2 linked regions of the Rattus norvegicus genome follow. The protein of the gene in region 1 purifies or fractionates together with the protein of each later gene. This does not show direct contact. Links are inferred from orthologs where the notes say so. Each region holds a gene or a part of one and is shown on either strand. Other genes may lie near its edges. The genes, in order: Abca1 and Nr1h2.

Region 1 (3,806 bases):
GTGTCACTACCACTGTGCTACTAATCTCTAGAGCCTAGTGTGCCAGGTGCCGAGCAAAGTACTTTAGGGGCTCTGGTTCGGAAGGTTGCTCTGGACTGTTTCCTATTGTAAACAGTTTCTAAGAGAGAGATTTAACTGAGAATTTAAGCGACTTGCTAAGGTCATGTGTCTGTTAAGTGTCAGTGCTTGGGGATGACCTCAGCTGGGCTACACTAGGTCAGAGTCCGGCAGGTTTCTCTTAGTATTGACTGGGTTCTTAGTTCTATGTCCCCAGAAGAAGAAGCCCTAGGAGAATCTATCTACTAACTACAGGCTATAAATAATATAATGTATTGGGTCTCGGCTCTTACCCATGGCTTAAGGCAAAGTAGTATTCACCAACAGTTAATTCTGATGCTTTTCTAACCTTCACCAAGTACAGCAGGACCCCTCTTCAGGATACGTTTCTGTCTGAGAACGGATTTTAGGGAGAGTGAAGTTAGGCTCATGGCCACCCTTTGACTCTCTTCCAAGGAAGCTCATTTGTAATTTTGTTGTTGTTGTTGTTGTTTTAAACCCATATCTGAACTTCCTCCATTGACCATGCAATTTGCATGTATAGATAAAGATTCAAATTCAGAATCCTTTTTCTTTTGTGTAAGTGACCTTGGATATAGCTACTTGTCCTGCCCTTTGCTCATCTCTCAAATGAGGATGCTATTACCACCTGGGGAGTTGTTGGGAAGCCATGGAGAGGTGCAGAATATATGATTTGTACAGCAGGTTTCGGCCAAGAGTTAGCTGTCTCCCTCCAGTCCGCTCCTTCCCCATAGGGCGTGCTAAGGAGAAAGAGGGTCTGGCTAAGAAACGTCAGAACCGCTGAGATTGCGTCAGCTGGGGTCATGCCTGTGCTACCTATGCTTTGCTTTCAGGACAGTACGGAATTCCCAGGCCCTGGTATTTTCCTTGTACCAAGTCCTACTGGTTTGGGGAGGAAATTGATGAGAAGAGCCACCCTGGTTCCAGCCAGAAGGGTGCGTCAGAAAGTAAGTACTGCTGACCAGAAATATCCCCCCCCCACCCGCTGTGGAGCAGAGCCTGTGTCTAGCATTTAACATCACCCCAAAGCCACAATCGATGGGGAGAAATCCCATGCAGTAGGTCCTTTCCCAATGCACCCATGCCATTGCCATCCCACGCACCTAGTGGGAACCATATCTGTCTCCTGAGGAGAAGTTCTTTTGTCGCCCCTCTTCTAGCAAAGTATATTTTGATCAGTATACCCTTATTTCTCCATCTAGGATAATCATGCTACTCTACTAAGCCAAGAGGAATAACTACAGTTAGCCATCGTTGTGGACCTAGTTAGTTTCTCTATCTGCCTTGCTGTGGTGGTCTATCCTAGGGATTCTGTCGGTAGATACCAAGAGGCTGCTATATACCCAGCCTGGGCTTCATAATTTCCCACCCTTTCTCAAGTAGGGTGCTAATCCCCTCCTCGCTCCTGACTGCAGGTAGAGGTGCCCCAGTTCTTCCCAGGTTTTCTGTTTGTGTCTTTGTGCTCAGTGTGGCTCCCTTCTCCATTGTCAGTGGCCCGCTTTCTTCCTGTGTTGTCAGTAGATCTGCTACCTCTCTACATTGTCAAGGAGGCCTGCTTCCTCCCTGTGCTCTCAGGGTCTCTCTTCTGTGTCCTTCCCACTGGTTGCCTTTTGGTGCTCCTTAGTGTAGATAACATGCAACTTTAAAATTTTTATTTTATTTTTTTTATTTATTCCTTTTACATCACACTCACTGCCCCCTCCCTGTCACCTCTCCCCTCAATCCCTCCCCCTTCTCCTCTGAGTGCATGGGAGCATCTCTGGGTATCACCCCCACACTTAAAGTCTCTGAGAGGCTAGGTGATTCCTCTCCCACTGAGGCCAGACAAGGCAGCCCAGCTAATAGAACATATCCCACCATGTGTGTACAGGCAGCAGCTTTTGGAATAGCTCCAGTTGCTGGGGAACCACATGAAGGCCAAGTTGATTTTTTGGGAGGGAGTGGATGGATCTTTTTCTCGATTGGTATAATTCTTTTGAGATCCACTCAAATTGTGATATATTTAGTTCATTGCCATTTTTGTTTGTTTGTTTGTTTTTCCTTAATGAGTACTGTTGCATAATACGGGTATCCATGACACTTTTAGTTTATTTTAATGTTTTTCTAAAATGTCTGTTAGCATCCTGTATTTTAATTGTTTGTGCAGCCTTTCTTCATCCACAGACTAATGGTTTTTTTTTTAATAAGTCCATTTCGTTTATCAACATGAGTGTCCCAAGAGGCTTAAAATATTTCATCTCCTGTTTGTCTGCAACATTAAAGGTTGAACACAGACAGAAGCTAGTTCTAAAGGTCTAAGCATAGACGTTTGTATTTCTACACTCTATTGGCCAGGTGTGTTTCCTGCAGGATCATCTCTGTCTCCTTTCTTCTGTCACAGTCTGCATGGAAGAGGAGCCCACTCACCTGAAGCTGGGGGTATCCATTCAGAACCTGGTGAAGGTTTACCGAGATGGCATGAAGGTTGCTGTGGATGGTTTGGCGCTAAATTTTTACGAGGGCCAGATCACCTCCTTCCTGGGCCACAATGGAGCAGGGAAGACCACCACCATGTAAGAAGAGGGTGTGGCTCTCCCAAGATCTGCCACAGGAAATCCCCACTTAGAAGCATACACCTAAGGCTAAGAGCAGAGCATGATGGGAAGAAATGTGTCAATCATGAGCATGCCTTCTGAGGTCTAGATTTTGCTAGGTGTTTTTCCTTTAGTCTAAAATAGGCAGGAACCTTTTGATGAGTTTCCCCATGCAGTTCTCAGAATTCCCCAGCTTTCTTGGAATCTGAGGCTATCTGTTTCTGAACTCGTTGGTTCAGAGATTTGAAGCAAGAGACTGGAAAGAGATCAAACAAGCTAGAGGAAGACGGACACTTCTAGAAAATCTGACTTCAAGCAGATGAGAGAAGGCCTGGGTAGCTCTCTTCCTCTGCCTTCCCTGGGACCTGTGAGGACAGAGGAAGGGCCATAGAATACAGTAGTTTGCTTACAGTTTGTAGTGTGGTCCCTCTGCCATTTCTGAGGTTGATCTTTGGGGATGACCAGCTTTCTTCTTCAACATAAAACCAGTATACTATGAACATGACTGAGATACTCAGGAATTCTGTTATGCAGCACAAACATTTCTATCTTTTAACAATATGTTCTTGCTTATTCTTTTTTTTTGTACAGAATGTTAGGCATACAAAATATGTTTTAAGGAGCACACCCGTTTGCAAATTAAGAGTAACATTTTCAGTTGCTCCTAGCAAACTCCTATCTCTAAGACATAGGCTCATGCTTAGCCACTCACTAAAGCAAATGGCCTCTTTGCTCTGTGGGCATCTATTAGATTGGATTGGATTAGATTAGAAAGGAAGGGATAGAGTGTGTTGTGTGATCTGCTCTTTTTGCCCTGACTCTGCAGCACTGAATGGTAAGGCTGGGTCGTCCTGATTCTTGCATCTGTTACTCTTGTCCTCAGGTCAATACTGACTGGGTTGTTTCCCCCAACTTCTGGCACTGCCTACATCCTGGGGAAGGACATTCGATCTGAGATGAACTCTATCCGGCAGAACCTGGGAGTCTGTCCCCAGCATAATGTGTTGTTTGACATGTGAGTAGCAGAATCACGTAGAGAGGAGCACCCCCAGTTTGTGACCTGGGAGTCCTGGTGTTCTGAGTAGTGTATTACTAAAGACTTTCCTTTCTTGGGTATGGAGTGGTAGGTCGTACCTCTCCTGATAGACAGTGACA
Region 2 (4,444 bases), on another chromosome or scaffold:
CAAGAGGCAGAGGCAGGAGGATCTCTGAGTTGGAGGCCAACCTGGTCTACAAAGAGAGTTCTAGGATAGCTAGAATGGTGAGACCATGTCTTTGAAAAAGGTGGGGGGCGGTGTAAACCAGGTAGTGGCAGTAAGTGCTTTTAATCCTAGCACATGGGAGGCAGAGGCCTTGGCCAACTCTCTTATGAGTTGGAGGCCAGTCTGGTCTACAGAAGTAGTTCTAGGACAGCCAAGGCTACACAAAGAAACTCTGTTTCAAAAAAATATACAAGCAAAACAAAACAAAACAAAACAACAACAACAAAACCAAGACCAACAGCAACAAAAGTTAAGTAAAAGCAAGCATTTGCGCTTAATAAAGATTCTCTCAACTGTTGACAAGTCGGAGTTGGGGAGAAACAAATCTCTGAATCTTTTCCATCTGAGGTCCACACAAGTATTTCTATCTTTTGTGAAAAAGCTGGTATTATCACTTTTATGGGAGAGGGGCATAGGCTACTTGTTTATTTATATTGAGCTGATGACCTGTCTTACTACCTAGCTCAGCTTGGCCTCCAACTAAACGCAATCCTCTGGCTTTGGTCTGTTTGATTATTGCAGGCATGCAATTGCACCCAATTTGCCTTTTTATATTTACTTCTTCCTATCACGAAGCTGAATGAAAAAATAACTTCTTATATATAAAAGTTCCAGACGCAGGCACATCAAGAGAGTCCAGAGTTGGGTTGAATAAGAGCACTGACTGCTCTTCCAGAGGTCCTGAGTTCAATTCCCAGCAACTATAGCATGGCTCACAACCATCTGTAACGGAATCCGACACCCTTTTTTGATGTGTCTGAAGACAGGGAGTACTTACATAAAATGTTAGAGAGAAAGAGAGAGAGAGAGAGAGAGAGAGCGAGCGCGAGAGCGAGCGCCAGAGCCTGGACATGTAAGGAGAAGGGGAGAGAGGTGAGCCAGGGGAATAAATAAGGGTAGGCGAAAAAAGAACCCAGTATTCAAAACGACTGGATTATAGAGGGAAGGGCGGGCAGCTGGGGTAGGGCAGCACAACCTCTGAGCTGGAGAAGTTCAAGGTATGAAGAGCCCTCGTGCCTCCATTTTAAGCTTAAAATCATCCTGCAACCATCATGACATCTCCAGATTTAACCTATTTAGAACCAATATACTGGGCTGTAAGTGGATGTGCTTCTGCAACAATGGGGAGGTGGAAGCAGTTGGCTCAGAAGTTCAAGGCCACCCCTTTGAATATGAGATCCTGTCTCAAAATCAAAACCAAAATAAAAACCAACCATGCAGCACTTCTACAAACGTAGAGAACTTTAGACTAATCAAAAAGGGAAACAACTTGCTTTGTTAGTCATGTGTTTAAAGAAACAAAAGAACTTTCCGGAACTTTTTTCTGAGTCCCAGAGGGGAACTACCAGAAGAAATAAACTTCCGGTGTCCCACTTCCGGCCAAGGCATCTCATTCGGTGGCGCCTAGGCAGACCGGAAGTCTGTCACCTTTCCCGGCCCTCCTACTTCCGGAAGTGACGCGCAGCGGGGTTGCCGGAAGAAGTGGCGAAGTTACTTTTGCTTTTCGCTCAGCAAGCGCTGTTGCTCCGAGCTACTCCCAGGCTTCTGAAGTTACTTCTGAAGTGCTGTGGAGGAGCAATCACCGGTGCGGACACAGAGGCAAGTGCACCAGGCGGCAGGGCGGGTGGGGTTGGGACCGGTACGCGGATCTTTGCGGGTCCAGCTTAACGCGCGCCTCCTTCCCTTACTTTGTCGCAGCTCCCGCCTCCCACAGCCATTTCCAGGGTAACGAAGTAGGAGACCCCCTCCTGCGACCCCCTCACGATCGCCGGTGCAGTCATGAGCCCCGCCTCCCCCTGGTGCACGGAGAGGGGCGGGGCCTGGAACGAGGTGGGCGTGACTCCACGGGGCGTGGCGTAGGGGAAGCCTATGTTGGTGGGCGAGGGCGGGACGCACATGGGCGGGAGGCATGCTGTAGATAAAACCCGTGATTGAAGGCTTTCTTGATTCTTGGGGCGGGGCCTGGATTGTTGTTGAGGGGACTGGGGGAGTGGGCAGAGGCGTGGAGGGCGTGGCACAACGAAGACCTATGATTGGCTTTTGGGGAGTTGGAGGGGCGGGGCTAAATCTGGGTATCTGCCCCAGTGTGAGAAGGGGCGGGACCAGGGACCTGATAGGATGGGTAGGGTCTGGGGTCTGTATTGAGGTGGGTTAAAGCCTTGAAGAAGCCTGTGGTAGGAGGGTAATGGTTGCGACCTGATGGGAGAGGCGGGACAAAGTTAGGATCACCTATATGGTAAGAGCACAGTTGGTGCTCACCAAAGAAGAGGAATTAGAGTTGTTGGGCTCTCTTAGTGTTAGAGGGGCGGGAGTTGTCATGGGAGGTCATGAATCATAGAGAGGTGGAGGGAGCAGTGAGTGGGTTGGAGCAGAAGTGGTTGGGGATGTTCAGGGTGATGTTTATAAGGGACTAGGGCTGGCAGTGGGGGCTCAGTATAGAAGTAAAAACACTGAGGTATAGTGGCACAGTGCTGTGATGCCAGCACTTGAGAGACTGAGGCAGGAGTGTGGGGAATATCCCAAGACAGCGTAGGGTAGTGTGTTCCAGGGTTTTGGAGGTGGTTCAAGATGTTCAGCCACATAGTTCGTTTAGCCTGAGCTGCATGGGATCATGTTTCGAGAGCCCTTGAGCATTGGAAGGAGAGACACTCTGTAATTGGCTGGGTCCCCTATGTCCAGCAGGCTGCTTCGTGACCCACTATGTCTTCCCCCACAAGTTCTCTGGACACTCCCTTGCCTGGTGAGTGATGGGTTTTCCCTACCTGGCCCCTCCCACAGTGTAAGAGAAGCTCACTGTTCCCTCTTCCTTCTCCTAGGGAATGGTTCTCCCCAGCCCAGTACCTCCTCCACTTCACCCACTATTAAGGAGGAGGGACAGGAGACTGATCCACCTCCAGGCTCTGAAGGGTCCAGCTCTGCCTACATCGTGGGTGAGACAGGGAGACAGGAACAGGGGTGTGGGACGTTGTGAGGGAAGGGTGGGGAGACGGTGGCCCCTGTCTTTCGGTTCGCTTTTCCTTCCTCTTCCCCCTGACACCTCCGACTCATTCTTGGGAGCCTGCCGACCTGCAGATCTTTCCCTTGGCGTTGCAGCCCTGTCCTCTCACCCTCGCTTCGGGACTTCCCATGGCCTGTTCCCAGGCTGCTGTTTCTCTTTGTCGCTATCTCTCATGGCATCTGCTCACCCCAAGTCATCTTAGAGCCAGAGGATGAACCTGAGCGCAAGCGGAAGAAGGGTCCGGCCCCGAAGATGCTGGGCCATGAGCTGTGCCGCGTGTGCGGGGACAAGGCCTCGGGCTTCCACTACAATGTGCTCAGTTGTGAAGGCTGCAAAGGCTTCTTCCGGCGTAGCGTGGTCCATGGTGGGGCCGGGCGCTATGCCTGTCGGGGCAGCGGAACCTGCCAGATGGATGCCTTCATGCGGCGCAAGTGCCAGCTCTGCAGACTGCGCAAGTGCAAGGAGGCTGGCATGCGGGAGCAGTGTGAGTGCAGGGGCGGGGCTAGACAGAGCGTGGGTCCTCGTCACGGGGAGGAGTAAGTGAGGGTGGGTCCCACCACTGAGGCTGTCTTTCCTGCAGGCGTGCTTTCTGAGGAGCAGATTCGGAAGAAAAAGATTCAGAAGCAGCAACAGCAGCAGCCACCGCCCCCGACTGAGCCAGCATCCGGTAGCTCAGCCCGGCCTGCAGCCTCCCCTGGCACTTCGGAAGCAAGTAGCCAGGGCTCCGGGGAAGGAGAGGGCATCCAGCTGACAGCGGCTCAGGAGCTGATGATCCAACAGTTAGTTGCCGCGCAGCTGCAGTGCAACAAGCGATCTTTCTCCGACCAGCCTAAAGTCACGGTATCGCCCCGCCCGGCCCAGTGGGCAGAGCCCACCCAGGCTAGGGAGGGTTTCTTGGGGCACACGAGTTCCCACGTGACCCTGGCCTTTTGTGTCCCAGCCCTGGCCCTTGGGTGCAGACCCTCAGTCCCGAGACGCTCGTCAGCAACGCTTTGCCCACTTCACTGAGCTAGCCATCATCTCAGTCCAGGAGATCGTGGACTTCGCCAAGCAGGTGCCAGGGTTCCTGCAGCTGGGCCGGGAGGACCAGATCGCCCTCCTGAAGGCATCCACCATCGAGGTACTAATAACGAGAACTAGGCTCTAGGACAGAGGTCAGAGCTGCATGTAGTCCAGGGACATCCTAACCCTCGTGGGGTGTGGCCATCTGGAGCCTCCAGTGAGCCAGCCACGGGGGGAAAGGGAAGTGAGCTGAGGTGGGAGTAATGGAGACTATGGGATGGACTGTCAAAGAGGAAATACGCCCCAGAGACTTGAAGGGAATGGATATTTGAGCCAACTCAAGGATAACTTAAGTTTGAGAGTCAA

Evidence for each region.
Region 2: the proteins of Abca1 (region 1) and Nr1h2 purify together in Homo sapiens (affinity purification with western blotting; 3 studies listed by BioGRID and IntAct, with this or other methods). This does not show direct contact. The link is inferred for Rattus norvegicus from reciprocal best matches to the Homo sapiens genes ABCA1 and NR1H2.

What each region holds. Positions count from the first base shown.
Region 1 is NC_086023.1:72,512,766-72,516,571, reverse strand, and holds part of Abca1 (phospholipid-transporting ATPase ABCA1), read left to right. Parts: intron 1-911; coding exon 912-1,025; intron 1,026-2,458; coding exon 2,459-2,630; intron 2,631-3,534; coding exon 3,535-3,666; intron 3,667-3,806. UniProt on the Homo sapiens protein: Catalyzes the translocation of specific phospholipids from the cytoplasmic to the extracellular/lumenal leaflet of membrane coupled to the hydrolysis of ATP.
Region 2 is NC_086019.1:104,180,957-104,185,400, reverse strand, and holds the start of Nr1h2 (oxysterols receptor LXR-beta), read left to right. Parts: upstream 1-1,537; 5' UTR 1,538-1,677; intron 1,678-1,776; 5' UTR 1,777-1,908; intron 1,909-2,757; exon of another isoform or gene 2,758-2,760; 5' UTR 2,761-2,778; coding exon 2,779-2,818; intron 2,819-2,894; coding exon 2,895-3,008; intron 3,009-3,171; exon of another isoform or gene 3,172-3,269; coding exon 3,270-3,560; intron 3,561-3,656; coding exon 3,657-3,916; intron 3,917-4,016; coding exon 4,017-4,196; intron 4,197-4,444. UniProt on the Homo sapiens protein: Nuclear receptor that exhibits a ligand-dependent transcriptional activation activity. Binds preferentially to double-stranded oligonucleotide direct repeats having the consensus half-site sequence 5'-AGGTCA-3' and 4-nt spacing (DR-4).